3 linked regions of the Arabidopsis thaliana genome follow. The protein of the gene in region 3 interacts with the protein of the main gene of each other region in a pairwise test. Each region holds a gene or a part of one and is shown on either strand. Other genes may lie near its edges. The genes, in order: SUT4, ACA2 and UPS1.

Region 1 (10,919 bases), on a different chromosome or scaffold from region 3:
TCAAGTGGTTGAGCCCGAAAAACAAAAATTAGTGATGACTCCATCGTTGTTGAAGAAGCAGAGCAAAGCAAATTAAGTATCTTTTTTTTTAAGCTCTTTCTTGGTCTCTGTCTCTCAGACGGAGGTGAAGCTGTCCGATTGTCCTCAACACTTTAATCGCTTGCGGCGGAGTAAGAATCTCCACCACTTTCCCCACCGTCGAACACCGTAGCTGATCAGCGTTGTTCATCGCTGCCGCCATCCCAGCTTTAAGCACCTCCATCGCCTCCTCCAAATCCGTTTCTTCTCCGTCCACCATTCCCACCGCTCCCACGCGCCTCGCCGCGAGCATCACCGGCGGATCCGCCACGCTTTGTTGCACGAGGGCGAAATCTCGCATAACTTCTCTCTCTTTCCTCCTAGTCTCCGACTTAAGACTCGAGATCCGGTCTTTCTGGTGGCGCGTGAGGTCGGCCACGGAGACCTCGGTGAGTTTAAACACAAGAGAAGGCTTGAAATCGCCGACCCATAAAATAAGTTTAGCGTAGGAGTTAAACCACGGTGGGCAGAAGAAAGTGAAAACGTTGTCCCCGGCGAGGGAAACGGAGGCGAATTTCTCTTGGTAGTATTGAAGACAGTGAGATAGAAACTGGGCCACGAGAGATTGTTGTTCTTCGAGAGAGATACGATTAGTTTCATCCAAGGAAGAAGCACACATAAGCTGTTCAACGAAATACCTGTGACGGATTAACCAACCATCAACGAAGATAGTGAAGCTTTGAGAGCTGCTAGTGTTTGGCATGTTTCTTATGTTTGGAGTACTCACTAAGTAAGTATGGACTGTGAGTGTACGTTGTGCAAGAATGTTTATATACTACTACATTGGGCTTGACCAAGAAAAATCTTTTAGGAATTAATTTACGATATGTCGGTCTATCGACGATGTGTCGGCGGGCGAAATGGATTTTTGTGACTTTTGTCTTGTCGGAGTGAAGTGTAATCAGAGCAGCGTCTTATCATCATTTGCTGTTGTTATTCAACTCTGGTTTTAGAATCAAGTTGGGTTAAACAATAGTATAAAATTTTAATATGGATGAAAATAAAATATAAATTATCCTTGGTAATTATTGATTATAACCTATAGAATCGACAAAAAGAAAGACTATAACCTAGAGAATTTTTTTTTTTTTTTAAAACAAGTGTTCATTAAAAATCTTTAAAATATTTAGTCTGTTTTATAATTAAAATGTTTATATCTGAAATTGTATCTATCACTACTAGTTCCAGTTGGAATTATATATCTGTCAGGGTCGCATCTCGATATTATGGAATGACCTAAAATAACATCTGAAGAGGAAACCGACACATGTTGGTAAAATAAGAAGGCACACGTCATGTAAAGAAGATGACATATGTCAGGAAAGGAACATGTCCTTACAAAATAGAAACCAAATAAACCAACAGTTCATAAATGCTCCAGTTATGCCGCGAGCCATCTTTTCTTCTTTACTAAGAAAATTTCTACATTATTTTAAGATTTTTCTTTTCCATGTAGTTGTCTCATACTTCCTTCGAAAAGATCTTTCTCTAACTTCAACCTTGGGGATCGAGCAACCATATTTCAATCAACAGATTCTTTCATCACTCTAATAACGGACAAAAAAAGAAAAGATGTCAAAAAAAAAAAAATTGGAATATGCACGTTGATACTATAAGTTCATTTAAATCAGTCGTTAGAGTAAACCTTATTGAGAGTTCAAATTCATTTAAAAACCTGATGAGATAATTATATAATTTCTTATAAGATTTTTTTTTCTTGTAAGAATTTAACGAATAGAATTTTTCTCTCTATTACTTAAAATTCCTCCTCGTCAAAAATTGCAAATGCTTGGCAGTTTTACCATTTTCTCAGAACTACCGTATGAGAAATAAAGTACGTATTAAAAAACAATACAAGCTTTAAAGATAAAAGAGGCAACAAATTTTTTTGACAAAAAAATTAGATGAAAAGAAGTGACGACAAATAACTGAGAAAACACGTTTTGCAAAACTAAAAAAAAAAAAAAAAAGAGAGAGTTGGAAAATGTTTGGAGCTGGTGGGCATTAGTTGGCTATGCAACGCACGGACGCGGATACTTTTCAACTCGTTGCTTACGCGGCCACGTTTTCGTCACAAACCGTGTTTCTTTTGCGGCCTTTTAAGTTTTAATCAAACATTTTTGTTTTCATTTGAATCTTTTTTTTAAGGCGGTTATACGAATAAAATCATTAAAAGGAGAAACGGGCCTTCATGTTTAGGTTTTTGTTCTTCCTCATTTGGGTTATTTAGCTTATTGGTTCAGCCCACAAGAGTTTCCTTCAATGGATAGGGCCTTCAGTTGCATGCCATCATCCTTTCTTGTTTCTCTATAAGCCATTTTTGCAATGAGAATTTCTCAATTTCTTATTTTTGCAATAAAATCATTTTGCCTTAGATGATGGTGGAATCATCCGTTTTTCTTTATTTTGACCCGGTGAGTAATTGAACGCAAAAAATAGTCCAATTATTCAAAACCTTACAATTTCATATCGCCATAATAAACCTAAACATGATTCGAGTGAGCAACTACATAAAAAGGGGAACGAAATGTTGGTACAAAACTGAATTCCAACCCAATCAAGTGCATACTAAACTATTGAGCAAAAACAAAGATAAAAATCAGTTCACCTACCCTAATTAAAACATGATTAGGCCTAAAAGACTATAAGTAAAGATAAAAAAGATGCCATTTTAGAGTACGTTTTGGTAAATTGGCGCCATCGTGTTATACGTTTAAACCGTATAACCTGAATCATGCAGCACGTGTACGGCTCACATTGGCCCAAGCTTGATTAACAAACAATAACGTCATTTTCGTATTTCAACAATTTTGATCGCTCAATCCTTTCGACCTAATTTCCATATTAAGTAATTTATTAGTTAAAACAACGGACTCAACCAAATTACATATTAAGAGAATATTTGAAAATTGTCTATGTAGATGAACATGTATTTGAAAATTGCGTAAGCACACTCTTTCTCTCTCTCTTTTTTTTTTTTTTTTTTCCCCCTCTTCTTTCTTTGAATAAAGATGACATTTTTTTCTGTTCCAAACACAAAACTGCATATTGATAGTGTTATTGAATACTCAACGTCTCTTCTTCCAGCTTACGTAAGTGGAACTTACTTTTTGCCCCGTGATCCAACAGAAAATGACGAATGCTCCCTCAAAATCATTTCGTTTCAACAAAAATATGTATTTTATCCATAGAGAAACAACAAACCTTACACTATATACCCTCTTTTAACGTGCCCACTTTTCATTATTTACACAATTTCCCCAACAAATTTAAAACAATTTACAAAAAGCACTCAACTTTCCTAAAGTAGATTCCTTTAGTCCAATGGAATTCTTACAACATCTTCTTCTTCGCCACCTTTTTCTCTCCACTTTAAGCTTTTTCACTCTCTCTACGCCACGACGACTGTGAAGCGAGAAATGGCTACTTCCGATCAAGATCGCCGTCACAGAGTCACTCGCAACCGTCCACCAATAGCTCGACCCTCTACTTCTTCATCTCGTCCCGTTGTATCTCCTCCTAGATCAAAAGTTTCGAAGCGTGTGCTTCTCCGTGTAGCTTCCGTCGCATGCGGGATTCAATTCGGATGGGCTCTTCAGCTTTCTCTCCTCACACCTTACGTTCAAGAGCTGGGGATCCCACACGCTTGGGCTAGTGTGATTTGGCTTTGCGGTCCTCTCTCTGGTTTGTTCGTGCAACCGCTCGTTGGGCATAGTAGCGATAGGTGTACTAGTAAGTACGGTCGTCGGAGACCGTTTATTGTCGCCGGAGCTGTGGCGATTTCTATCTCTGTTATGGTTATTGGTCATGCGGCGGATATTGGATGGGCATTTGGGGATAGAGAAGGGAAGATTAAGCCGAGGGCGATTGTTGCTTTTGTTTTAGGGTTTTGGATTCTTGATGTTGCTAATAATATGACTCAAGGTCCTTGTAGAGCTCTCCTTGCTGATCTTACTGGTAAAGTTCCTGACTTTAGTGTTGATTGGGTCTTCAATTTGAAATCATTCAAATGTAGTAAATTTGGGATTCTCGTGATTATACACTCACATGCAAAACATGAAAATGCATAAATTTGTGATTTTGGATACAATTTGGGGTTATATAATTACCTAATTGGTTCCTAACAATCAAAAGGTCCCTTCTTTGTTTCTGGTCGGTGGCTTATCGTTGAGTCACAGAGACTTTGTTTTTTCTCTTTCCCTTGAATCAAATTGTGGATTTTGGTGAAGTTAATCGTAGCCTACGATTGTGTGATAACCTCATGGAGTGAAAACAAAGATATGTTGTGTTTTAATTCTTGTCCTATTGCTTTATTTTCAGAGAATGATAATCGCAGAACCCGAGTTGCAAATGGCTACTTCTCTCTCTTTATGGCTGTTGGCAATGTTCTTGGCTATGCTACTGGATCATACAATGGTTGGTACAAGATCTTCACTTTTACGAAGACAGTTGCATGTAATGTGGAATGTGCCAATCTCAAGTCTGCCTTCTACATAGATGTTGTCTTTATTGCAATAACTACGATCCTAAGCGTCTCAGCGGCTCATGAGGTGCCACTTGCTTCATTGGCTTCTGAAGCACATGGGCAAACCAGTGGAACAGACGAAGCTTTTCTTTCTGAGATATTTGGAACTTTCAGATATTTTCCAGGAAATGTTTGGATAATCTTGCTTGTTACAGCATTGACATGGATTGGTTGGTTTCCATTTATTCTGTTTGATACTGATTGGATGGGTCGAGAGATCTATGGCGGTGAACCGAACATAGGGACTTCATATAGTGCTGGGGTCAGTATGGGTGCACTTGGTTTGATGTTGAATTCTGTTTTTCTTGGAATCACTTCTGTGCTCATGGAGAAACTTTGCAGAAAGTGGGGGGCTGGTTTTGTTTGGGGAATATCAAATATCTTAATGGCTATTTGCTTTCTTGGAATGATAATCACCTCATTTGTTGCGTCTCACCTTGGCTACATTGGCCATGAACAACCTCCTGCCAGCATCGTGTTTGCTGCTGTGTTAATCTTTACAATTCTGGGCATTCCATTGGCGGTAAGTTTACTCCTGTAATTCTGCTGTCATGTTACTTACACTATTACTTATGATATTTTGCCTGCTCATCTGTAACAACATGATGAAATTTATTTACGCTTTCGCTGTAACTAATGCTATTGCTACTCTTCTGCAGATAACTTACAGCGTCCCATATGCGTTGATTTCCATACGTATTGAATCCCTGGGCTTAGGTCAAGGTGTGCAGGCTTATCTTTGGGTGTTGTTTCTTATAAAAGTTCTGTTGTGTTGTTTCTTAGAAAAGTTCTGCTCAATGATTTTACTCTACATATGAGTGTTGTTTCTTATAAAAGTTCTGTTGTGGCAGGCTTATCTTTGGGTGTGCTAAATTTGGCGATAGTCATCCCACAGGTACACTTCTTTCAACCATCCTTTTAGCATTATATTTGCCGCAACTCAAAATCATATTCTTCTTTGAATGTTTCTGCCTGTAAAAGGAAGTCTATAAGCATAACATGCAGCAGAGTTACTGCATTATTTGTCAATTGTCATTAATAAACGATTCGTTTTTTTAGTTATGGTCATTGGCCAGTGATGAAAGTACACTTTTTATTTCTCTATATTAGTTGATTGATGAATTTCTTCCCTATGTTGGTTATGGTTTTTGGCATCAAACTCAAATTCTGTTGTTCAATCATTTATGTGTTTGCAGGTAATTGTGTCTGTTGGCAGTGGCCCATGGGATCAACTGTTTGGAGGTGGGAATTCACCGGCACTTGCAGTAGGAGCAGCTACAGGCTTCATTGGCGGAATTGTAGCTATCTTGGCTCTTCCACGGACAAGGATTCAGAAGCCCATCCCTCTCCCATGAGATTCTCTCTTTTGTTATATAAGGTAATAATGTCACAATTCTTTCACAAAAAGTACATAGTAAGCACTTAAGTTGTCACTGATTATTAAAAGCGGCTAATGCGAAATAGATGAGTGTCAAGCGAGGAACGCATAAGGGGAGTGCTTGGAAATGGCAAGGAGATGGAACACTTAATGTGATCCTTGTCGAAAATTCGTGCAATGGCTTCTCGTGTGACTAACTTATTTGCAGCTACTAGGACTTAATCCCCTCTACTTTGGGGACTATGATCCTTGTATACACGAGGCACCATAGAACCAATGAAAATAATACATCATTCAGTTTGTGAGGTATATGCATCTCTCCTTTATTGGAAGTTCCAGTTCGGGATCTTCTCTGTTTTTTTTGTTGTTGTTGTAAATTAATGTAAAAACCTGTGTACAACAGAGTGTTTGTAAGGGCCCCTGAGTTCTGTAACTGTTTATAAAGTTCATTTTCTTTAGAATTAGTTTGATAAAGAAAACCTGAGATCCAAAAAATTTACATGATCTGTGTAGCAAAAGTAGAAAGGAACCATTACGAGTACTAGTAGTCTCTATAGTAGCAGTAACCACCAATAGTCAGCAATAGATTAGGATGACTCTTGGGAATATTAAGACCATCTCCAATGGTTAAGAAGTAATTGGTTCTTAACCAAACATCTTAACAATTATTTATACTAAAATTTTGAAACATGACATGTAACTGTTTTTTTCACTCATGAAAACTTCTTAGCTAAGAAGCAAATCTTAGTTTTTAATTTATTTTGATTTAATTTTCAAAGTTTAATTCTAAAATATTATTCTAAGATACACCTAAGATAAACCATTGGAAGTGCTCTAAGCCTAGTAGGAAGGAATAGTAGCAAATCCCAGTTTTCTTCTTGAGTGAGATGTTTGAGATTGAAATTACTGTAATGCTATTGAGATTCTGTAGGCAGCGTATCAATAATTGAGAGAAATAAGTAGATGCTAATACAGCTTGAGCAATACTTATCCTTGTAAAATTGTGAATGATTCCAGAGTTAAGTACTTTGACCGTCCAATAGAGATTGTGTGAGAGTATGTATAACAGATATCATAATTGGTTTAAACTGAAAATAGAAAAAAAGAAAATAAGCTGTGGAGTAGTAATATGCCTAAAGAATTTAGAAAAAGGAATACACGTGTGGAGGAGGAGCACAAGGGACCTAAAAAGTCTGTTGGGATTTGGAGAGGCCCTGGCTAATATCTAAGAAGTGATATATAACAAAGGACAAAAACGTGGTTTACTCTCTGTCTGTCACCGACTCTCTCTATATTCAAAGTCAACTAGGGCGGCTTTCACACCTCCCTGCTTCTAGACGAATGGCAAATCTTATCATCTTTTTTCTATTAACAAATTCGAGGTTAGAGTCTCTAGCTGCATGCACTACGATTTCAAAATTCTTAAATCTCGTTTTCTAGTATAATTAAATTTGAAGTCTTTTTTTATACTAACTTACTACTAAGCATGCTTTTTATCCTTCTCTACGATATAATCTAATACGTTCTCAACTACACATAACCTTTTTTAAAAGTGTATCTAAAATCTCAACATACTGATTTAAGTATCACTCATTTGTGTATAACAGTTGACACTTTTGAGATTAAGAAATAAATAAATTAAGATGGTATTAAAGTTTAATACCAGTAGTTGAAATAGAAAATTCTGAAAGAGTAATACTGTATTTTCTTCTTATTTTGGGGGTCAACACAGATCAAGAAATTCAAGATTAAAGTTTTATGATGTGTATCTATCAAGAATTTCTTTTTTTATGATGAGTACTACTGATCATGGTTCAAGAGAAGATGTTGAGGTTAGTACTCTTCACCTTCAAGAACAAATACATGAGATTCTCAACAACAACCAAAAAAGAAGCATGAGATTCTCACGTGGTTAATTAATTGCATAAACGTACGTAATTAGTATTGCAAGATGTTAAGATTGTTAGAATGCAAGTGAAAATATGATGAGATCCTTGATTTTTAACCCCGCAGTACATTTTGGATGTGTAGATAATCCCCTTCTTAATTTAAAATATGATCATTTTAATATGTGTAGAAAAGTGGTTATTTTGGTATATTTTGTTATTGTAAAATGTGATCAAATCCTTCTGACGAAGAAAGAAAGATGAATCCCCATTCTCTACCTTATGTTATATTTAGATTGTGTTCTTTTTATGAAGAATTGGGTTGTTGAAAGCATTCACTGTAGGCCATTTGATTCATCCCTTGTCGCCTTCGGATTTACATAAGTGGAGAGTTTTTTCTTCTTCTTTAATTAACCTTTTTAGCTTTAGCTGAAAGAAAATAAAGTAATTGCCTTTTTGTATGCAACAAAGCAATTAGCTTTTACCTTTCAAGATTTTCATATCACAAGAAAAGCTAAGTGAAGTCCACCCTGTATTTTTTGACAAGTACATTTTATCGTCACGTCCATGCACTTGCACTATCATATAACAAAAATAAAATAAAAATAAAAGTAAAAGAATGATTTGTCTTTTCTTAGGCTTCAATTATTGGATAACTTATTTCATCAAAAACTTTTTCTTTTCTTTTCTTGTCTGTTCTCTAGTATTGCCCTCTTTTTCCATGAAGCTTCGAACGCTTTGTTGACTAGTAAAATGTGAAGACTCCATATTCGAAATAATTCATTGACCAAACAAAGATTCGTCGATTGATAGTTACGGTATGGTTAAAATTATCAATAAAGATCAATCTCTTAATATATAGTTTCACATCATGCAATCAAATTTTCTTTCACCGTGGACTCGTGAGAGAGAAAAAAAAAGAAGAAGCTGTGGTTACTTATTTGTACAGTCTAAATTTTTTTTTCATATATTAAATGATCCATGCGTACGTTAAAATTTGTCCCAAAAAAAAAATGTCATAATCTTTTTTATTTATTAATATAGATAATTTTTTATCGCGCCTTATCGTCGGTAAATATATACGTTTTATTTGATTTTTGTTTTAAGCCCTAAGATTTTCAGGATAATATAAACCAAGATGATTAGAGCCAAATGAGAAAACTGCTCTGGCTTAATTTTTTTCTTTAAAATCACTGAACTAGGTTTTGGTTGTGTAATTCATTGAAATTTTTTCATATCTGTCCGAATTGTTATCATGGTTGTGGATCTTTCTTTTTAGTATATAGCCTAAGAGTAATCTATTATAGTAATTCTAGTTTTACGCTTAATTAGACCATCTATATATATTATTTCTAGTTACGTCACCTAATCATAAAAGACTCTACAACAGCAAGCTAGGGAAACACAGTAGCAAAGAAAGTTTTTTCTTACTGATTTTCAAAGGTTTGAAACACATGTGTTTGTTTGGACTCACTAGTGTCTTCTGGCGTGGAATCAATTATTTATGTCTCCACCTAATCAGAATATGACAAATGAATACTCGCAACATAAACATAAAAATAACGCTCTAATGATAATTCTTTTTTTTTATTGTTTTATGTCGGAAAAAGAAGAGTCCACCGAGAAAAAGAGCCCTCAAACAAATTTGAACATGGCAATTATGGAGCGGCAGAATTTAATTATTAGTCCTATAGTCGATATATTATTGCATTACCTAATGTGTACACACACAATATAAGGTTGGTTAATTTGGTAATCAAACTAAAGATTTAGAATGAAAATTTCCTTTTAAAAAAATAGCCATTTGTTTTGTTTTAAGATAAGAGCTAAGACATATAACTACTTCCTAATTAACTTTGGAAAAAAGTATATTGTCGCAAGTTGCAACTCTTGTGCCATAAAAAGCAAGTGTTCAACACATGTTTATAGTGATGCCTCATCAACAGCTCAATTAAATTGAAACGTAAGTATAATACACAATCATCTACATATTTTTGCAGACATTTTAGCAAATAAATCGTAGAGTTGAACTTATTTACAACTCAATGTCATTAGCATTAAATCTTTTTTCCAAAATAATTCATTTTACTTTAAATTCTTAATTTAAATTGTCAATCACATTATCAATCAAATTTAATCCAAACAAACTTCCCATCAATCCTTTAAAATTAGCATAAACGTATTTGTTAACAATATTTAAAACAAAGTTTTTGTTTAAATAAATATTATTCTTACTAAACGTTTTTTGTTTAAATAAATAAATCCTGTATTTGAACTTATTTACAATTTCATGCTACTGGCATTAATTATTTAGGAATGAAAATATTTAATTAAAGATTTAAATCTTCTAAATCCTTGCTTTTAGATTTATTATGTCATTACCTAAAAGGCAAAAACTATTAGTTTTTTAAATATTATTATTTATATTTTAAATTTTTTTAACATTACTAATATTTAAACTTATAAAAAGTTTAATATATCAAAAAATCTTAACATCATTATATAATATATAGAGTTTTTAAAAATCTCAAATTTTTTTCCGTCATATTTTGTGATTCAAAATTTAAAAAATGAACATATATTAACCAATTGGCGAAAAATATGTGAGTTCAACGTCCCATTTTGACTAAAATATTTAGAGAATGATTCATAAACATATCATAAATAAGATCAACATTAACAAAATAAATGGTTTTTTTTTTTGCGGGACGAGTTTGGCAGGACGTTACTTAATAACAATTGTAAACTATAAAATAAAAATATTTTATAGATAGATATAATATATAAATTTTTATATATATTAACTTAAAAAAATAAATTGTCCTGCGGTATACTGCAGATTAAAATGTATATTAATACTTACGACGGACGTGTACAAAATATTATATAGCCCCAAAAATAGCGCTGCATATAAAAACCACATCTACCTAAGCCTACCATGTAGTGTAGTTGCATATAAGACAACTATAAATTAATAATGTAGTTTAATATTTTTTTTGGATTGGTTTCTTTGTTTTTGGTTAAGTTTTTTTTTCTTGGGGGTATAATGATT
Region 2 (11,968 bases), on a different chromosome or scaffold from region 3:
CTGATAAGCAAGAACCTCACTTTACTACTACGATCGATGATGAAGATTATGTGGCAGACCTTGTTCTTAAAGAGAATCTCCGATTCGAAACCCTACCCTCTAAAACGACGTCGTCTTCCGATAGATTGATTGCCATCGATTGGATTCTCACTGTCCGTAATCTCAAAAAGATTTTCCCTTTTTTGATCTTTGTCTTAATCTCTGATTGATTGGTTCTTTGTCTTAATCTCAGACAAGAACAAGATTTGGGTTCCAACATCAAACAGCTTACATTGCAATCTCATACTTCGATCTGTTTCTCCACAAAAGATTCATCGGTGTAAGTTTCAATCTCCAGTTTCATTTATCTATAAAAATCTCACCTTTATCTTCAGATTAAAGCTTAAAGATGGTTTCTTTGTAGTTGCAGAAAGATGAAACATGGGCGATGCGATTGTTATCAGTAGCTTGTTTATCATTAGCTGCTAAAATGGAGGAACGTATTGTTCCTGGTTTATCACAATACCCTCAAGATCATGACTTCGTTTTCAAACCCGATGTCATTCGTAAAACTGAACTGTTGATTCTATCCACATTGGACTGGAAGATGAACTTGATCACTCCTTTTCATTACTTCAACTACTTCCTTGCTAAAATCTCTCAGGACAACCATTCTGTTTCTAAAGACTTGGTGTTGTTAAGATCCTCTGATTCTCTTCTTGCTTTAACTAAAGGTAACTCTATTAAGAAACACATTTTTTTCTCAAGATCAAAGCATTTATTGATATCACATTTTTGTTTCCATGTAGAGATAAGTTTTACGGAGTATCGACAGTTTGTTGTTGCTGCTGTTACTACATTGCTAGCTTCTTCTTCTACCTCATCGGATATTAGATTGACTAGAGAAGAGATAGCTAACAAGTTTGGTTCGATCTCTTGGTGGACTTCTAATGAGAATGTATAAATCTTGGTGTCTTTTTATTCGATTTTGATTGTTTGATGTTGATGATCATAATCTTAGGAGTGTTGGGTTTTGTAGGAAAATGTATATTTGTGTTATCAGAGAACGCTAGAGATTGAGGAGAGGAAACATATGACACCTCCACCGGAAATAGCGGTTTCTCGCGAACCGCCGGCTTCAGGAAGTGGCGCTAAACGCCGATTGTCTTTTGATGATTCTGATCAAAGTTCTCCACCAGCCAAGAGAATGCGTAGGCTATGAAGAGAGAGTTTCTTTCTTCTTCAAGTTTTGGCTTATATTGATTTGGTTTCTTTTTTGGCAACATATTGATTTGGTTTTATATTCAATCATTTGATTATAGAGAAAAAATGGTCTGAATACATCGGTTATTTCAATTTTTATGAAGTAACTCATATAGGTTCTTCGTATGAAGGTCTTTGGATTTCTTGGGGATGAAATGTGACTATTAAAACATTAGGGGCTTCTCTGAGAGAATCTAGGAAATATGAGGAGTGAATGTAAATAAATAAGAAAAACAGAAAGGGTGAATAGTTTTAGGCCAATAGTTGCAGTGCCAGTGATTTGGTTTCACATCCTCTTTTATTTTTTTATTGTCTTATTTTTTTATTTGTTATGTTGCAATTTCTTTTTCATTTGATATTACAAAATTTTGTCATAGATTTTTTTTTTTTTTTGGCATCAAAGTCCATTTTTTTAACCTCTTTAACTTTCAAAAGGGCTCATTCATAGCAAATAATAAATGAAAAAACTCTTTTTAAGGTAAGGTAAAATTATTTTATATTTGATAAATATATTTATTTTCTTATCTTTATTGACACTTTTGGTCATCTCCAAAGTGAATCCATCTGTATGCTACTCAACATGTTATGTCCATTCCACAAAGTCCTTCGTGATCTTTTCATGTTCTCAAATCTCAATATATAATATCTTGGAAAAAAATTAATCAAATAAAAAGAAAATTTTCTTGTTTAGGAAAAATCATCGTTACTTATCTTTGATAGATAACTACTTTTACGAATTGACAATCAGTCGATCACGATAAACTAAAACGGATATATATTTTGCTCCAATAAGTTTTCTTTAGCATTATAGAAACCAACAACTTGTAGTGGAACTGTGGAAGTACTTTGGATCAATGATTGGATCTAAAGATGAAACCCCAATTTATACAGAAATTTGCATGTGATGTTTTTAAGTTAACGTACTATTCTACGCGCAAGTCAAAAGTGCATCGTACTCGTACATATAGAGGTAGATTGTTTTTTTTGTGTGTGTTTATAGGATTATTGTTAATATTTTCAATGAAATGCAGTTGAGAAAAAAAAAAAAAAACATATGTGTAATAGACTGAAGAAACAACAACCCAACGACTTGTTTAAGTGAGAAACAACTGTCTCATACAATACAACTTGGGATCCAAAGTTTTGGTTCCATTAATTAAAGCTTTAATTCCAAAATGATTAGCAACGAATTAAAAGACTTATTACAAACAAAATGCATTCTTACAAATTAAGAAGCATAAAGTACTGACAGAATATAATTAAAGATAATGTGTGTGTGGTTTAAGGCCAATGTTTTGTTGCTCTAAGAGATTATTCAACAAATCAAGAAGCATAAAGGGTCAAGCTTTACTTCACCAAGAACTAGTTAATGCTTCTGAATTTTCTGTTGCCTATCTTTCAATGAATATTAGTATGTCCCAATTGTTATTTTTTTTTTTTGCTTATTATCATTGAGTTAAACCATTTTGTTTCTGTTGGGTTTTGTGTAGACATATGTGAGATTCACGGGTAACACAATTTAGTTACAACTCTCACTTTGGTTAGGAGATGGATAAACTAATGACTAGTGAGATTGAAATATCACAAAAATAACTAATCTTTATGTAAATTCTATTTTCATTCTAGATATTAATTAGTCCTTTATTTATGAACATTTATTCACACGATCACAAACTTAAACAATTAGTTATAGAATATTTTACCGGTCTAATGTTCACATAGAAATTATAATTTACCTATACGCCTACAAGGGACAAATGACTATAGTATACTCATTTTTTCAATCTAAAAAATGGTTTTACTTCATAGAGATCCTAAATTGATAACATTTAAAAATGTTTTTTTCTTTTCTTAAAGAAGAGTCTTTCTTATTTATTACAGTTTTGAGATTGACAGGCTTTGGAATTGTTATATGGAATCAGTTTTGACTGATGAGATATGATGTCAGGAGAAGAGGCTCCCACTAAAAGCCATGACTTCATTGAGAGATTTTCTAAGTATATCAAATTACAGTCTGGCTAGATAACAATTTTGTACCCAAATAATCATTTTTCTTATTTTAACCTTTTGCTTCCTCTGTTTTTTCAATGTCCTTTTTCTGTATTTTTGCATTTGTCATTCAATAGAGACCAAATTTAGATTCCAAAAATGAGAAAAAGAAAGAAAAGAGAAGTGTCATTTCAAAGATACAGAGAGTTTTACAAAAATGGAGGAAATCAGATATTTGTCCTTAATAGCACTAATCAAACTGAAAAATAAAAGTCAAGAATAAAAAACAGAGTCATTGCATAATGCAAAAACTTTGTTAGAAGACTTGTCCGTTCTAAACTTTGAAGTAACTGGTCTAATATAGAGATCTTTAAAGAGTGGTTTCGAGCCAATTTTGATGGAACGATCAAACGGGAATCGTCTTCAGTCCAGCGGCGATTGGCATACCCAAGAAACCTATGAAGATACTGAAGATCCATTGTGTTATTGTGAGTGGTGTTGTGCTTGCAAATGTGCCCAAGAACTCGATGATTATGATCTGAAAGAAAACCGTTGCACCGATCACAACCACAAAGACGTAATTGTCCAGTATTCCTTTGAAAACATCGATCTCTTCCATCTCTCGCGAGCTTATCTCGTTAAACACCTGGAGTTTTCAGAACCAAAGTCATGTCAAGAATCTATCTTTATAGCTCGAGTATTGTTATCAGTAATCTTTGTTCTTTACCTGACAGAAGACGAAGCAGTTGAAGATAAGAGTGTTTAACATGAGAGTTGAGTCAGGACCGTCGAGACCAAACATAGCCTTCCCTTTGGCTTGGAGAATCCAAATTACGATGAATTGGTAAACAGCTTGTCCTAAAATGTTCCTCCACATCGCATTAGTGATGAAATTGCCTCTCCTTCCAACAGGTAAACGCTTCATCAGCTCGTCGTTTGGTGGCTCTGTAGCTAAAGCAAGAGCTCCAAGTGTGTCCATGATCATGTTCACCCACAACAATTGAACAGCAGTTAAAGGAGCACTTCCTGAAGATTATCATAAGAGCTGTGTCAAACAAGGAATCCAAAATGATTCTTTTCGAGACATTGAATTGGTATTCTTACTAAACCTACCGGTTAAACAAGCTGAAGAGAAGTTAACAACCAGTGCAACAACATTAACGGTAAGCTGAAACTGAACGAATTTCTGGATGTTTATGTAAACAGAACGTCCCCATTTAGCAACTGTGACGATCGTGCTGAAGTTATCGTCGAGAATGATGACATCAGCGCTCTCTTTCGCCACCTAAAAGGTTATACAGATAGAAACTTTTAGATTCTTTAGCTCTCACAAATGACATAACAAAATCTTATCATATACTCACTTCAGTTCCAGCAATTCCCATTGCTAGTCCAATATCAGCTTCATGAAGTGCAGGTGCATCATTTGTTCCATCTCCAGTGACAGCAACAACTTCATCAAACGTTGTCCTTAACTGTTTCACAAGTGTATGCTTATCCATTGGTGAAGAACGAGCCATCACCTGTATAAGAACATAGGAAAGGTTATGTTTCAAAAACTAAACAAAAAAAATTAAGTCTTTAGTTCATGAAACAAAAAGCACCTGAATCTTTGGAATCAGTTCTAGTAACTCTTCTTGATTCTTCTCTCTGAATACGGGACCTTCGATGGCTATACCGTCATCAGTTAAAATCCCACATTCTCTAGCAATTGCTTTCGCGGTGTTAATGTTATCTCCTGTAACCATCCTCACAGTGATTCCAGCACGGCGACAAAGCTCAACAGATTCTTTAACTCCAGGACGTACGGGATCTTTGATTCCCACAATCCCTACGCAAGTAAATCCAGAAGCCGGGATTGCATCATCCGGCGAAAACCCGCCTTCAATATCCATATAAGCAAGGCAAAGAGTTCGAAGAGCTTCATTAGCAAACTCGTTGATTGTAACATTCAGATACTTGATTGATTCTTCATCAAGTGGAACAACCTCACCGCTCGAGTTTACAACTTTGTCACAAGCAGCTAAAACAATCTCGGAAGCTCCTTTCGTGTGAGCACGCATACGTCCTCCCTCAGGAAGCTCGATTACAACTCCCATTCGCTTCTTTGTGGAGTTGAAAGGCTCAACTTTGATCACTTTGTAAGACTTCCTCTCTTCTTGGAACTTACCTCCAAGAGATAACCCCAACTCTAATATAGCAGTCTCTGTTGGCGTCCCCAAAAGCTCGGTTTTCCCATGTTTGTTGACAACAACTTCGCCTCCTGTGTTATTGAAAATCGATTGAATCAACAACTTCACCGCAGATTCCGGGATTTCTGATTGCAAGCTAGAACCTTTATTTGCTACATCTTGCACATTCATGCAAATGCAAGACTTCACAACGGTCATGTGATTGGTTGTGAGTGTACCAGTCTTGTCACTGCAAATCGTCGTTGCAGATCCCATAGTCTCACATGCTGCTAAATGCCTCACAAGAGCTTTATCGTTCATCATTTTCTTCATGGCAAACGCAAGACTTAGAGTCACAGCTAAAGGCAATCCTTCAGGAACCGCAACCACAACGATTGTCACAGCAATAGCAAAGTATTCCAAGAGCTCCAATGCTTCATCACCAGACCAGACCCAGTGAGTTCCCGTTGAAAGCTTCCTCATAAACATTCCTTGCACCAGAACCGCGAAAGTAACCACCGCAAAGAAAAGACCAATTTTGCCAATGATGGTAGCAACTCCATTGAGTTTCACCTGCAGTGGAGTTTCATCATCCCCTCCTTCGGTCAAAGTCGCCATTAGCTTTCCCCATTGAGTCCTCATCCCAACTGTAGTAATCATCATCTTACAAGATCCATCTTGCACTTTGGTTCCAGACATAAGGAAAGGATTCTGCGCATTCACCATCACAGGCTCACTTTCACCAGTCAAACTCGATTCATCTATCACCACAGAGAATCCCGAGAGGAAAAGACCATCAGCAGGAACCTGATCTCCAATCGCCAGATGAACAATGTCACCAGGAAGCAAGTCGTAAATCGACAGTTTCTGTCTAAACCCGTTCCTTGTCACCTGAACAGTGATCTTCTTCTTCTCTTTATCCAAATCACGGAACTGCAAAGACTGGCGGTAATCGCTAGTAGCTGTAACAAACACAACCAAGAGAATACTAGCCGCAATGCCAAGACCATCATGTGATCCTTTAGGCCATCCTTCAGTAGCTATCCCAACAATCAAAGACACGAAAGCACAAACACCAAGAATCATAAGAGTCATATCCTGAAGAGCTTCCCATACAAACACCCAGAAACCCCTCATTTCGCTCTCTGCAAACTTGTTGATTCCGAAAAGCTCTTGCCTTTGGGATAACTGAGCAGCCTCAGTAGAAAGGCCATCTGTGGGAGATGCCTTGAGCTTACCTGCAAGCCCATCAACTCCACCATGGAACTTGAGCTTCTTAACATCATGACTTTCAACAATTGATCCTAATTCGTCAGCACAAATCTCAAAGCCAGCAGCTTTGACATCTTCAGGGACAGTGTAGTCACTTGGAGAAACACCTACAACAAAAACTCACATAAACAAACAAACAAACAAACAAAAATCGAAACTTTGACACAAATCAGCAACTTTGATCACATATAAACTCACCAGAGATAAATTGGAAAGCAGCTTTGGAAACAAGAACAGCGATCCTTAATTTCTCCTGTATATAGAAAGTTTTTAAGATCCTTCATCGCTATACACAAAATCCATCTAAAAGTTCGAAGATTTCAACAAAATCATTAACAACGATGACATAGAAGAAAAAGAAAAGAGACAAAACCTGGTTGGTGCGACGCATCGCGGCGGCTTCATAGCGTTTAGAGAGATTAGCGGTGAAACGAAACCGACGTTTAGGGTTCTTAACAACGCCACAGAGATTACGCCATTTCTCAAGCACTTCCTCTGAAGAATGCTTCGCTTTCACATCGAAATTCTCGTTTAGGTAACTCTCCATCTTCTTACTCCCTCTTCTTCTTCAATCTCCTCTGTTTTTTTTGTCTTCCAGCTTCAATGGCTTTTTTGTTTGGCTCTCTGTTTCAAATTCTTCTGTATATTTGGTGGAGAAGAAAAAAGGAACCTTTTTATTTTTTGGTGGGTGAAGAAGAGAAATCGGAAGCTTTTAATGGAGAAGAAAGGTAAAGTTTTTTTTTATTCAAAGATCTGAGTTTTTTTTGCTTAAGCATTTGACCGAGTCGTTGAGTTTATTAACATTTGGTGATGAGAAGCTGAGTTGACTCGTTTTAAATTCGTGTGTCCAACAAAGTTTCTCTTACATTTTTAATAAAAACATTCGACTTATTATTGAAGAGAATAATTAAATAAAGACATGCACTACTTTCCATTTATAACGAACGTTAAATCATTCTTGAAACATTCATGCAGGCCATGACGAGTACATTACGCGTTTATGTTATTATTGTTGAGTTTATGATTGGTTTTTATTCCCAAATTTGTGAATGAATGTGGACATTTTATAATTAAAAAAATTAGAAGATTACAGAAAAAAAAAGGTTTAAAAACTAGTAAAATACTATGGATGAGTAAATGACGTAATTTTTAGATTTACTCAATATAATATATACTGTATAGAAAAAAATGGAATATAATATACAGAGAGTTTTAATTGGACCATATTTTGCAAGATTTTTCTAAGAAGTTTACCTTTCGTAGCTTTGGTTTTTTGTTGTTTGGCTGCTCACGTTGATTTCACTTTGACCAAATTGAATGACAATTGTGGGACAAAAGTGCGGTGATTTTTGACAATAATAAGAAATGGGGTCGTTTATATAAATAAAGAGAAATTGGAGGACCGTTGACCCAGAGACTATTGCAAAAAACCCGACACTTCGGGGACGCCACGTTGGACCAAGCCCATTGGTTCTATTTGGACTCAAAAACATTGATTGCTTTATGTCTTTTTATTATTCGTTTGGTACTAATTGCTTATGTCTCTGTTCATCATTCTAGTTCAATAACTAGTGTTTTTTATTCTTCTCCAATTGAATAATGCGTTTACCTTGACTTCATGGAAAATGACACTTTCAAAAAAGTTGGACATGCAGATTTGGGCTTAGAATGGGCCTTTATAGGCCTTGAAAGCTATTAAGATCTTTCTTTACACGGCTTTGTTTGCTTTATTGGCCTTTAGGGCCTAACAAATTTTGGGCTCTGGTATATGTTTGCTTCTCTAAAATATTTGGGATGCTTTTGAGAAAGAAAAATAAACAATAAAACTGTTAATCATTTTTTTTCTTTAAGCGATTCTGCTGAGTTATGTGTTGGACAGGCATTGGAACAGCTGTGGGATGACGTTGAAGTTGCTCGTGTGGTTGTGGTCTCCGATTGTCACTCTGCCATGGGAAGCTAGTTCGTTACCCCATAAGTTGCCAAGATTCTGTGATCTGCTGGATAAAATTCACAGTTTAGCCATTACCAAAAAAATAAAAAAATCACAGTTTAGCAACGGTTTTGAAGGTTGTAATTTCACTTGGTCGCGGTTCGGACTGATGTCACTGCTCCTGCTATCGCTAAAAGTGTGACTAGGGAAGGAAAAATTCAGTTATATATGGGACTAAGAAAACCAGCTTGGTTTCATATTCAAGTGGTGGACGAAGTTCGTTGATGAGATATTTGTTGTGTTACGAAATCCATTAACCAAATAACATTTTGCAATCATAAAAAGTTGTTTGAAAGAGGTCTAGACGTACGTTGATGACCCATAAATTTGTGTAAATTCACAAATATATATTTTTCGGATGATTCTACACATATCATATCAACCTCCATGATTTTGGTATGCCGTACAATTTTTAAAAAACTTTAGCCGGTGTCACTTATATGTAGTTTTAGTGGGAATAGTCATGTCAAAATTATTATTTTGAGTTAGGTTTGATTGAGTTGGTTCTAATAATGTATGATATTTTCTACATCATTTGCTCTACATTGTTCCGATTTAGATTTTACAAAATGGTACGAAATTGGTCACCTAAAAGTCTGTTTTTTTACCTTTGTGTGATTGATGGGAGACCTACAGGTTTTTTTTGTCTATGGCTTAATTGAAGGATAGTAGAATATTTTTGTAAAAATATTTGATCATTTCATTACTAATCGAAAAAGATAAGTTAACGGTTCATTTCTGGGGCTAAACAATCCTAACCATGGGGAAGATGTTTTCTCCAAGTATATAAATCTTAATTAGCATACAGGCATGCATAACAACCAAATTAGCGAATGAATATGGGTTTATATGCGAGAAACAAATTAGGGTCTACTGTATACATAAACAATGTAATTATGCATTTATGCTATGGCTGTTTGGTGTTGTGTATAAAACATAGTGGCACATATAACCGAAATTATTATCGACTATATATATATATATATATATATATATATATATATATATATATTCTTCAAAAGATTAAGATGGGACTTTTCCTAGAATGCAAGAACAGATTTCGAGAAATTACATAAGAAACTGAATTGCAACACTCGATAGGTTTCGAAGAAAGGGACAAAGAAGCAGAGCGTGGGGTTTCTTCTAATAATTGTAGAAGAAACTGATCATGAGAACATTTGATCTACCAGAGATGGTGATGACTCATAAGATGTAAATATCTACTGCATTATGTCTAGCCTAGGCTATAATGTAGATTTGATCACTTTCTTCATTAATTAGTTTGGAATTTTAGCATGATATAGCATATATCTAAATATGTCCGAAACTTTCCTACATACTAGAAAATATGGAGAGTTATGTAATGTAGGTTTGCTTGTTAATATACAAAATAACATCATCATTTAGTTTTTAGATTTTTTATTTTATTTTTTATAATGGTGCTACGTACGTGGCGATCAAATTATTCCAATTTTGAGACTTCGGGATTTTAAACGAAATTAAACAATGGGCATGAGCTCGGGGGGATAGACAAGATTAATGCTTTGTATCGAGACAAACGAGAAAATCATGATGAGCCTATGCATTAAGTGCCGTTGGTTAATTAGAGGTTCGCATATACATAAACCAGTAGACATATGGATAAATATGAACACACACACCAAAAAAGTGGGAAATCTAAATAAGTGTAGAGAATAATAAGTCCTCAGGTGGGAGATTCAAAGAGAGGACAATGAAGGGTATATAGACTCTAAACAAAAATGGCATGACTTAGTGGAGAGGGTTTTAAATTGAAACAAGTAGGATTGAAGAACAAGAAAACAAAGAAGCATGCCCTAGATTTCTGAGATAATAATTACACATTGCTGTTTATATAAGGTAAGAGAATATGACACATTGGTTGGTTTCTTACGGGTAAATGTGAAGAAAAAAAAATAGTAATATTTGAGAAAATCTAAAATAGTAAAGAGGTATATATGGAGAAGAAGAGAGAAAAGGGAAAAATAGTGGCAGAGAATGGAGAGAGGTTAGGAGGCAAAGGCAAATGTGGAGCTTTGATGATGTTGATGCACGCCGTCAGCTTTTCTTCACGCCTGCTCCCACTCACTCACACCTATGAACATTCTCTCTCTATTTTATAATTATATTCACATGTCTCTATGTTACTATGTAAATGGTGACCACTTAAGTATTTATATATCATGTATATATCTTATAGGTATCATACAAAATGGTCATGAAACTTTTGCAATTTCAATCTACTTGTTCATTGTAGATGCTAGCTTTTCACATGTTTTGAAAATTAGTCTGGATCTGAAATTCTTTAATTAGCATTGTTTTGTTGGTCAACGTTTAATTTCTTGATTATTGATGTCAAAAATTCAGAGCGTTCAGAACTCTTACACTAATTTCTTAAAAATAATCGATTAAGAGAAAATAGAGTTTTCATGCACCAGTGTTGATAGTAACGTAGTCGCGGAATGTCTAAAACGATTATGAGTTTGGTGTTTTGATTGGTTAGAATTGGTATTAGTAGGACATTCTAACTTTTTTGTTAGTCTGTTGATTTAGGATGCGTAAAGAGTCTTTTTATTTTACACCAGTTGAGACTTGGGATCGATAGTACTTGAAACACTTGGTTGGTTTCATGTATTTGGCCTATATATAAACAAACATCGTAATTATATACGGATTTTTTTCGGAATTTTACGCCATATCTGTAAGTATATATAACATGCATGTCGTTTTCAAATTCATATGATGAACGATCCACGTAAGTGCTACTACTCCTACAATATTGCATGAGAGAGATATGTATTTATAAATTTTATTTTGAAGAAGAAATAAGAGGGAAGGTTACTTGGGTGGATCGATGTGAAAACAAAAGAAGAAAAAGCGAAACCCACTAAGCCATTACATGATATCGACCTTCTTATCTTTTTCCTCTTTATTTTATTTTTCTCAGGACTTTTTTCTACTTAATGAAACCTCCAAACTATCTAACTAATACACTCCCATGTAGAATAAAGAAAATTATATAAGATATTGTTGATATTTTGTAACTAGAAAATATATTTGCTCTGTAATTTTTCGTAAGTTAAATCAACATTTTTCAGTAGAAACAAATATTACTGCAAAAAGTAGGATCATTATTTTTGTCCAAAATCTCAGTTAGCTATAGGGTTGTAGTAAAAACAAAACACATTCTTGATTTGCCCCAAAAAATAAAGAGAGAGAAGAATATTGTTCAAAAGTGGTCTCTTCTCTCTCTAATTATGTTTTCACTAAACCCAATTAGATTCAA
Region 3 (10,007 bases):
ACGATCTCGGATTTTACCACGTGCCAAACAAAATTTTCCTTTTATATAGTTAGAAAATTTTAAAATAGTAAATTTATTTTTAAAAAGTAAAGAAGATAAATATAAAAAAAACTAGGGCAATTGACAAAAATAGCACCAAAAGAAGTTTTTCTTCCAAAATTAGCACAACATTTTTAAAAGTTTACAAATAGTACTATAAATTCAATTAAACTTAACTAAATAATAAAAGAAAAATAATAAAAATGAGAGCAAACACTAATCTAATATTAAATTGAATCAAAAGTTTTTAAAAATAATGGAAATATATACCCTAAATTGGAAATAGAGAACCCAAATATAATACCACAAACTAATACTAAAATGAAAATTCTCTTTTAAATGGTGAAAATATATACCCTAAAGTAGAAATAGGGAACCCAAATATAATATTTTCAATTTATTTTTAATTATTTAGGTTGAATATATTTTATATAAAAATTGTGGTATTATTGAAAAAATAAAGGGAGATTGACACAAATGGCACAAAAAAACTTTATTATTCCAAAAATGACACTTTCTTTTGAAACTTCCAAAAAAAGCATATAAAAGTTTTTAATTCTCTATAAATTAATTAAATAATAAAGTTTTTTTACTACCATTTGTATCAATTCCCCCCCCCCCCCCAAATAAAAATGAGAGCAAACACTGATATTAAATTGAATCAAAAAACTTTTAAATAGTGAAAATATATACCCTAAATTGGAAATAAAAAACCCAAATATAATACTACAAACTAATTTAAAATGAAAAATCTCTTTAAAATGATTGAAAATATAAACCCTAAATTGAAAATAGGAAACCCATATATAATACCATAAACTAATATTAAAATGAATCAAAATTTCTTTTAAATAGTTGGAAATATATACCCTAAATTAGAAATAGAGAACCCAAATATAATATTTTAAATTTATTTCTAATTTATTTTGGTTGAATATATTTTTATATAAAATTGTGGTATTATTATTGTCCATAAAACTTGTTTTTGTGTTACTTTTAAGAATTTCTCAAATAATTATTTGAGTGCTATTTATGTCTAAAAAACTTTTTAATGCTATTTTTTTCAAAAAACTTAAAAGTGTGCTATTTGTGGGAATTTCTCAAAAAGTAAATTAGTGATAATATTTTTAGAACAAAAACTTTAGAGTAAGTCAATTAGTGCTATTTTTGGAAGTTTATGGAGTGTGTGCTATTATTGTCCATAAAACTTGTTTTAGTGCTATTTTGAAGAATTTCCCAAAAAACTATGTCTCTTATAATTAAATAATAAAAAAGATTCAAAAGTAAAGAAGATAAATTTATAAACAAATGTGTAATCAAAACAAGGATTTTGCAAAATGGAAAGATATGACACAACAATTAGACAATACATATACTGAATTTCAAATTTCAAATTTCAAATTTCAATAAGTTGTTTAATGTTTATAAATTTATATATTAAACAAATATTTTTGATAAATCTGATGTTCGTATTCATGATACATCTATCATAAAATAAATATTTTCTTTAGTTAAAATTAGCAAAACAAAACAAGGATTTTGCAAAATTGTAAGATATGACACAACAGTTATAGGTACATATACTGAATTTCAAATTTCAAATTTTAAGTAAGTATAGATTTATTTAAATTTAATGTTGTTTTGTCATACCGATGTAATTGGCTATATAATATTTTTTGAGAAATCTGATGTTCGTATTCATGATACACCTATCCTAAAATAAATATTTTCTTTAGTTAAAATTAGCAAAATAGAATGTGTAAGATTGAAATTTGTTTTTTCTTTTAAATATTATATTAAATATAAAAAGTGTGTTAACTACGATTTAGAGCTCATATATCATAAATTAAAATTAGCATTTTTTTTTTCTCACCCGCCTATTTAGGCGGGCCTTATCTAGTTAATTATAAAAAGACAATTGACAAAAATAGCACCAAAAAAGAGTTTTTTTCCAAAATTAGCACAATATTTCTGAGATTTCACAAATAGCACGATAAAGTTCAATTAAACTTAACTAAAATATAAGATTGAAAATAAAAATGAGAGCAAACACTAATCTAATATTAAATTGAATAAAACAATTGTAGAAATATATATCCTAAATTAGAAATAGATAACCCAAATATAATACCACAAACTAATATTAAAATGAAAAATCTCCTTTAAATGGTGAAAATATATACCCTAAATTAGAAATAGGGAACTCAAATATAATACCATAAACTAATATTAAAATGAATCAATTTGTTTTTAAATGGTTGAAATATATACCCTAAATTGAAAATAGAGAATCCAAATATAATATTTTAATTTATTTCTAATTTATTTTGGTTGAATAGATTTTATATAAAAATTATGATATTATTCAAAAAATAAATTAGTGATAATACTTTTAGAAAAAAACTTCATAATAAGTCAAGTAGTGCTATTTTTGAAAGTTTATGGAATGTGTGCTATTATTGTCCATAAAACCAGTTTTAATGCTATTTTTAGGAATTTCTCATTGTAAAAAGAGCATTGCAAAAATATTAAGACAACAACAAAAGTAAGCTCTTTAGCTGATATACGACCACCAACTATCTGGCTATCGAGAAGATCTAATATGCAGGGAAGTTATTCACTAGAATAATTCAATAGATTTGTTTAGTATAAAACTATTATTAGATTGAGTAAATATAAAAATAGTATATTTAAATTTGAGAGGAATGACATATGTCAAATGAATCAAACACCACTTGTCAGTTTTTTACGGTATGAGTTTGAGGGAACCTTACTTATATGTAAATGTATAAAAATAGTTAAACTTAATAGGCGTTCGTTCTAATCCCTAAAACAAAACCTTAGTTACTTTAGCGTATAGGGCAAGTAGGCGCAGACATGGATATGTCGATGAGAGAAGAGAAAAGACCAAAAGTGTTTGATAATCACGGTTGGTCCAAACTTTAATTTGTCCCGCGCGATCTTTGCAAAAGACCATGAAAATATTGATCTTTATTTACCTAAAGATCATCAAGGTGGATGCGCGTAACGATTTGATGAGAGAAGAAAACTGACCAAAAGTATCTCATCATCACGACTGGTCCAAGCTTTGTCTTGACCTTTTGCGAAAAATCATTGAAAGCTTGAACTCTATTGACTACCACCAAGCAAAACTCGTTTGCTCAGATTGGTATTTCGTTTGGAAAACATGCGTGAAACGGCCTCTGTATCCATGGCGGATCATATACTACGATGATGATTCTTCCAGTTTGTTTGATCCCGGTGAAGACAAGATTTACGGGACAAAACTCCTCGGACTCTCTGACAATAGCTATTATATGGCTAGCTCCGGAAACTGGCTCTTGATGGTAGATTCTTGATAGGTTTATAAGGTCGACTACTAGAGAAAGAAGCTGAGAAGATTGGGCTAAGCGAAGCTGAGAAGAGAAAAGAGGAAGTCAACTACTGTGTTGACTGAGTTGACTTAACAAATGAGGGCAAATACTCTTTCCAGTTAGAGGCCTTGAAACTCTTCTTCTATAAATACTGACTCTGTTCTTATCTGGGGATTTTATGCTTTTTATGTTGTGATATTTCTCGAGAGAGAATTGGCCTTGTGATGTGCCAGAGGAAGAGATCAATGTTGATCTCTTGGTCATCGGTTGCTTATATCTATGTTGATCTAAACATAACGATTCTTATCTTCTCTTTGTAGTTACGTAATCGATTCTATCATTACGATCTAGAGTTTCTAGAGTTTAAGGATTTGAAACTTTAACAAGTCTCGTCTTGATTCGAATCTTATTAAAGATCAATCTTCCGTCAATGGAGTCGTCAGTTCGCGGTGGAAAAATAAGATTCGAGCCAAGCAGATACTATAATAGACAAGGCAAGTGGGGATGGTTCGTCCTCCATCCTTTTGGTAAGTATTGCGTGTCCAAACACATGTTGGGAATAACAAGATCAGTTGGTCTTGGATAGATGAGAGGACAGTGGATTATTTAATTGCTTGGACTTTACACAACAGTTATTTGTTCACATACAAGAAAGGAGATGATTCTTGGTGGAACTGGAATGATAAGTATGGGACATCAGCTCCGATGTTTGGGGATTTAGCTTACAAGAACAGCAAGCTTTATCAGTATACTTTGCGCCACTACATCAAGATTATTGATTATTGTTACATACTTTTACTTCACCTTTTTGTTTTGAATTTTTTTTTTTATAATGATTTTAAGACAAGATTGTGTCAGCCGTTGACTTATGATCAACTAGGAACCTAATCGGAACGCAACTCGAGATTCATTTTATTTATTTTATACTACAAAATTATCTTGAAAAATATATCGAGGAAGGTGTCATATCTCATGGAATCCGAATCTGCCAATAATATGAGAGCCACTAGCAATTATTCTGAATCTCCCCAAAGGGAAGAATCAAAAGTTGTTCTCTCTTGTTCTGTCTTTGTTCTTTGTTAGAGTTAGAACAGAAGCTTCCAAAAGGTAATAATAATCTCTTTCAAGAAACTCATTATTAGTCAAAGATGTTTACTTTTTAGTACTCTCTCTGTTCTTCATTGCTTCTCTAGAAACCCAATAGATTTTGACTCTTGCCTTGCCTTTGCGGTTGTCTAAAGATCACAATCCTCAATTTGAGTTTGATCGATCATTAATGTGTGTCGAAGATCAGATAACCAAAAGAATCTTGTTTGGTGCAGAGTTTTTTTCATGATTTTTATAAGTATATAAAAGAGAGATAGAAAGATGTATATGATAGAGAGCAAAGGAGGAGCAATTGCATGTATGCTCTTGGCTCTTCTCTTCTTAGGGACATGGCCAGCAATCATGACTCTAACCGAAAGACGCGGTCGACTTCCTCAACACACTTATCTTGACTACACACTCACAAATCTGTTAGCTGCAGTGATCATAGCGTTGACACTAGGAGAAATAGGTCCGAGCAGACCAAATTTCTTTACACAGCTCTCTCAAGTCAGTCACATCTTCTTACTTCTCCTTAGACATCTTGTCGAAAACTATTGTATAACCGCGGTTTTTTTTTTTATCATAGGATAATTGGCAGTCAGTGATGTTTGCAATGGCTGGAGGAATAGTTCTTAGCCTTGGAAACTTAGCAACACAATATGCTTGGGCTTATGTTGGTTTATCAGTTACTGAAGTCATCACAGCTAGTATCACTGTTGTTATCGGTACACTCTTCTTTCTTCAACTACTCTTAACTGATTTTTTCCTCTGTTTCTTCTCTGTTCTTATGACCATTTCTGTTTTCTAGTACAGGCACAACTTTGAACTATTTCTTGGATGATAGAATCAACAGAGCTGAGGTCCTTTTCCCGGGGGTCGCTTGTTTCTTGATCGCTGTTTGTTTCGGTTCCGCTGTTCATAAATCCAATGCTGCTGATAACAAAACCAAACTCCAAAATTTCAAAAGGTTTGAAAAAGATTCATATCTATTGTTGTTTCCGTTTGGTTTGGTTTGGTACTAATCTTGATCTTGTTTCAGTTTAGAGACTACTTCTTCCTTCGAAATGGAAACAATTTCTGCAAGCAACGGGTTAACAAAAGGGAAAGCGAAAGAAGGGACTGCAGCTTTTCTCATAGAGCTTGAGAAGCAAAGAGCTATAAAGGTTGAAACATACTACTCTTCCTTTACCCTAACAGATATAACTGATATGTATATATGTTCTCTGAAGATTCATGATTGGCATTGAGGACAGGTCTTTGGCAAAAGCACAATAATCGGATTGGTGATAACTTTCTTTGCCGGTATCTGCTTTTCTCTGTTCTCACCTGCATTCAACTTAGCAACAAACGATCAATGGCACACATTAAAACATGGAGTTCCAAAACTAAATGTGTACACTGCCTTCTTCTACTTCTCCATCTCTGCATTTGTAGTTGCTCTGATACTTAACATCAGATTTCTCTATTGGCCTATACTTGGTCTCCCAAGATCTTCTTTCAAGGCTTATTTGAATGACTGGAACGGTCGAGGCTGGTCTTTCTTGGCTGGATTTCTATGTGGATTTGGCAATGGTCTTCAGTTCATGGGTGGTCAAGCCGCAGGCTATGCAGCTGCAGACGCTGTTCAGGTTTAGACAATAAACAAATCCTCTGTTCCATGATTTAAGAGTGAAATATGTTTTACTTATTATGATTTGAATATGTTTCAGGCACTTCCACTTGTGAGTACATTTTGGGGGATATTGTTGTTTGGAGAATATAGAAGATCATCAAGAAAAACATATACACTTCTCATCAGTATGCTTCTTATGTTCATAGTCGCTGTCGCGGTTCTTATGGCTTCCTCGGGACATAGAAAATGAAATTCACTGAAACTTCTTCAAGTTAAACTGCTAAAAGGATCCATTGAAGGAAGAGTTACTTCACCAATGGCTGCAACATGTTCAAGTCTTTGTTTATATTTAACCAAAGTGTTTTCTTTGTTGGTTTCTGTCTTAGGGCTTTGCTAACAACAATTGGTTGTATTGTCTTTGTTTACACATCAGAGAAAGAAAACTATAGTTTATGGCAACTTGAGATTTATTTATTTTATAGAAAATGGGAAACTAACTTCTTCCTGAATCTGGATCTGCCAATCAAATGAGAGACTAAGTTTTTTTTCTTCTGTATCTGTTGTTCTCTGGTCTTCCTCAAAGTCAAAGTTAAGACAAAAGCTTTAATAAGGTAATCTCTTTCAAGAAACCTAGTCAATAGGGAAATTTAATGGAATATAAGGTTTGAGTTTTATAGAGATCTTCTTGTATCAGCATGTGTCTTGTGTTAATGTTCTAAAGAACCTTTCTTAAGACAACTAGCTTCATTTTTATCACGAGAGATCAATGATATGATAACAGAAGAATCTCACTTCTTTACTTTGATGCAGTGGGATTTGGTGATTTTATAAAATGTATGTGATAGAGAGCAAAGGAGGAACAATCACTTGTATGCTCTTGGCTCTGCTCTTCTTAGGGACATGGCCAGCAATCATGACTCTAACCGAAAGACGCGGTAGACTTCCTCAACATACTTATCTTGACTACACACTGACAAACCTGTTAGCTGCAGTTATCATAGCGTTTACACTAGGCGAAATAAGTCCAAGCAGACCAAATTTCACCACACAGCTTTCTCAAGTCAGTTACACATACATTCATACACATATTTGTTGTTGGTTTTTGAAATGCAAAGTTTTTTTGTCACAGGATAATTGGCCGTCTGTGATGTTTGCAATGGCTGGAGGAATATTTCTTAGCCTTGGGACCTTAGCAACACAATATGCTTGGGCTTTTGTTGGGTTATCTGTCACTGAAGTCATCACAGCTAGTATCGCCGTTGTTATCGGTAAACTCTTCTCTTCAACTACTCTTAACTGATTTTTTTCCTCTGTTCTTATTAACTCTTTTGTTTTCAACAACAGGCACAACTTTGAACTATTTCTTGGATGATAGAATCAACAGAGCTGAGGTCCTTTTCCCGGGGGTCGCTTGTTTCTTGATCGCTGTTTGTTTCGGTTCTGCTGTTCATAAATCAAATGCAGCTGATAACAAATCCAAACTCCAAGGATTCAAAAGGTTAAAAAAAGATTCACTATACTAGGTCTTTGTTTTGTTTTCTTTTGGTTTGGTTTTTAACCTAATCTGATCTTGTTTCAGTTTAGAGACTACTTCTTCCTTCCAAATGGAAACAAGTTCTATAAAAGAAGGAAAAGCAAAAGTAGGGACTGCAGATTTTCTTATTGAGGTTGAGAAACAAAGAGCCATAAAGGTTAATAATAATACACACAGCATTTTCCTAAACAGAAATAACTGATATTCACTGATACTCAAGATTTGCGTTGACAGGTTTTTGGGAAAAGCACAATAATTGGACTGGCGATAACATTCTTTGCCGGTATCTGTTTCTCTCTAATCTCACCTGCAGTAAGCTTAGCGACAAACGATCAATGGCACACTTTGAAACATGGAGTTGGCACACTTTGAAACATGGAGTTCCAAAACTCAATGTGTACACAGCCTTCTTCTACTTCTCCATCTCTTCATTTGGGGTTGGTCTGATACTAAACATCATATTTCTCTATTGGCCTATACTTGGTCTCCCAAGATCATCTTTCAAGGCTTACCTAAATGACTGGAACGGTCGAGGCTGGTCTTTCTTGGCTGGATTTCTCTGTGGATTTGGTAATGGTCTTCAGTTTATGGGCGGTCAAGCCGCTGGTTATGCTGCTGCAGGAGCTGTTCAGGTTTAAGACCTCTTTTCTGTTCAATGATTTAAAGATTGAAAATAAACATTTTGGGGGATACTGCTGTTTGGAGAATACAAAAGATCATCAAGAAAAACATATACACTTCTTATCAGTATGCTATTTATGTTCATAGCTGCAGTCGCGGTTCTGATGGCCTCATCGGGACATCGAAAATGACTAAAAATGCATTCCACAGAAACATCTACAGACTAAAAGCTTCACAACTTTGGTTTATAAACTTGTAAGATACGGTACTCTTGTATGAAGGTAAAGTGAGCAACATGTTCAAATATATCATTGGTTAAATTTTAATCGATGGGTTTTGATGTTATATCGTCAGTATAAATATATACGTCTCGCATTAATTAGGGTTTCCGTGGTTCTTAACCCTAAATCCAAACATTAGGTCAACTAGAGTGTGAGGCACGTAAGCGCAGACATGGAGACGCCGAACGATTTGGTGAAAGAAGAGAAGAGACAAGGAGCTTCTGAAAATCAAGATTGGTCCAAGCTTTGTCCTGATCTTTTGCGACCGATCCTGGAAAGCTTGAGCTCTATTGATTTTCATCGAGCAAAAACCGTTTGTTCAGATTGGTATTCCGTTTGGAAAACATGCGTGAGTCAGTCTCTGCGTCCATGGCAGGTCACATACCTTAACGTTGTTTGATCACAAAGAAGACGAAAGTTTCAAAACAAGAGTCCTCCGTCGTCGCTTGAACGGAAGATATTGTATGGCTAGCTCCGGGAATTGTCTCCTACTGGTAGATTCTGGTCTCGATTTCTATATTTTGAACCTGTTAACGATCAAAACGATCAAGATTCCATCTATTAGACGAAAGGGCTGTAGGGAACACTCTTTAACGACGACAACGAAGAATGCAAAACAACAGCTGTTCTGTGGATAAACGAGAGAACAAAGGATTATTTCGTTGCTTGGATTAATTTTTCAAACAGAAATACTTGTTCTCACTCAAGAAAGGATATGATTCGAAGTGGAATCAAAACAGTGGAAGTATTTTCGATATGGCTTATAAGAACAGCAAGCTTTATCTGTATACTTTGGATCATCACATCAAGATTTATGATTTCTCTGGAGATTCTCCCAAAGAAGAAGGATTGACAAACCCGTATTCGAATCATCCATTTCGCTTCGATGAGAAACCGCAGGAATACATTTGGAAGAGGAAAATAGTGATTGCAGAATCAGGAGAGGTTCTTAAAATCTGAGCTTAAAAAAACGGAAACAAAAGGAGACTAATGAAGAGGAACTTTTGTTTTACATCTTTAAGATGAATCTTGAAAGTGGCAAATGGGAGAGAGTGCATTCTATTGGAGATGATGAATGAGATGTTGATCTTTGGTCATGGGGTTACAATGAGAGCACAAGTTCATGATGTTGGTGATGGAATCAAGAGGGATTCAATCTGTTTCGTTGAAGATGATCTTTGGCCGGATTTTGATCGTCCTTCAAATTGCGGTATCTTCAATCTTGCCACAAGTAGAATAACATGGCCTAAGAGATACGGTGTTTACATAGATCAAAAACAATGGTTTCTTCCAGGATTTGCTTAGTCTTTGTTTCACTAATGCATGTTCTTCCAAAGTTTAAGGATGACGGTTCAATTTTCTTCTCTGTCTTATTTTTTCACTAGTTTGAATTTGCTTCGACATAGAATGTGATGGTGTCTTCTGTGTTTTGCTTTTCTTTCTCTTAAACTTATTTC

What was found.
Region 1: the proteins of UPS1 (region 3) and SUT4 interact in a protein complementation assay, tested with the Arabidopsis thaliana proteins (one large-scale study listed by BioGRID).
Region 2: the proteins of UPS1 (region 3) and ACA2 interact in a protein complementation assay, tested with the Arabidopsis thaliana proteins (one large-scale study listed by BioGRID).

What each region holds. Positions count from the first base shown.
Region 1 is NC_003070.9:3,240,761-3,251,679, forward strand, and holds SUT4 (sucrose transporter 4), read left to right. Parts: upstream 1-3,225; 5' UTR 3,226-3,497; coding exon 3,498-4,035; intron 4,036-4,398; coding exon 4,399-5,126; intron 5,127-5,262; coding exon 5,263-5,326; intron 5,327-5,454; coding exon 5,455-5,498; intron 5,499-5,799; coding exon 5,800-5,958; 3' UTR 5,959-5,981; intron 5,982-6,067; 3' UTR 6,068-6,456; downstream 6,457-10,919. Other genes in the region: RAS1 (RESPONSE TO ABA AND SALT 1), read right to left, coding at 89-781. UniProt on the Arabidopsis thaliana protein: Responsible for the transport of sucrose into the cell, with the concomitant uptake of protons (symport system). Can also transport maltose at a lesser rate. May also transport biotin.
Region 2 is NC_003075.7:17,679,588-17,691,555, forward strand, and holds ACA2 (calcium ATPase 2), read right to left. Parts: upstream 7,519-11,968; 5' UTR 7,222-7,518; coding exon 7,048-7,221; intron 6,928-7,047; coding exon 6,873-6,927; intron 6,782-6,872; coding exon 4,836-6,781; intron 4,755-4,835; coding exon 4,596-4,754; intron 4,517-4,595; coding exon 4,345-4,516; intron 4,258-4,344; coding exon 3,959-4,257; intron 3,878-3,958; coding exon 3,638-3,877; 3' UTR 3,272-3,637; downstream 1-3,271. Other genes in the region: CYCD5;1 (cyclin d5;1), read left to right, coding at 1-152, 233-319, 404-713, 789-937, 1,019-1,201. UniProt on the Arabidopsis thaliana protein: This magnesium-dependent enzyme catalyzes the hydrolysis of ATP coupled with the translocation of calcium from the cytosol into the endoplasmic reticulum.
Region 3 is NC_003071.7:1,090,348-1,100,354, forward strand, and holds UPS1 (ureide permease 1), read left to right. Parts: upstream 1-4,354; 5' UTR 4,355-4,781; coding exon 4,782-5,009; intron 5,010-5,088; coding exon 5,089-5,227; intron 5,228-5,315; coding exon 5,316-5,469; intron 5,470-5,541; coding exon 5,542-5,665; intron 5,666-5,755; coding exon 5,756-6,130; intron 6,131-6,211; coding exon 6,212-6,364; 3' UTR 6,365-6,629; downstream 6,630-10,007. Other genes in the region: AT2G03580 (F-box family protein-like protein), read left to right, coding at 2,917-2,968, 3,205-3,386, 3,829-3,940, 4,046-4,134; UPS3 (ureide permease 3), read left to right, coding at 6,947-7,174, 7,244-7,382, 7,459-7,612, 7,694-7,805, 7,897-8,286; AT2G03610 (F-box family protein), read left to right, coding at 8,723-8,899, 9,259-9,495, 9,619-9,855. UniProt on the Arabidopsis thaliana protein: Proton-coupled transporter that transports a wide spectrum of oxo derivatives of heterocyclic nitrogen compounds, including allantoin, uric acid and xanthine, but not adenine.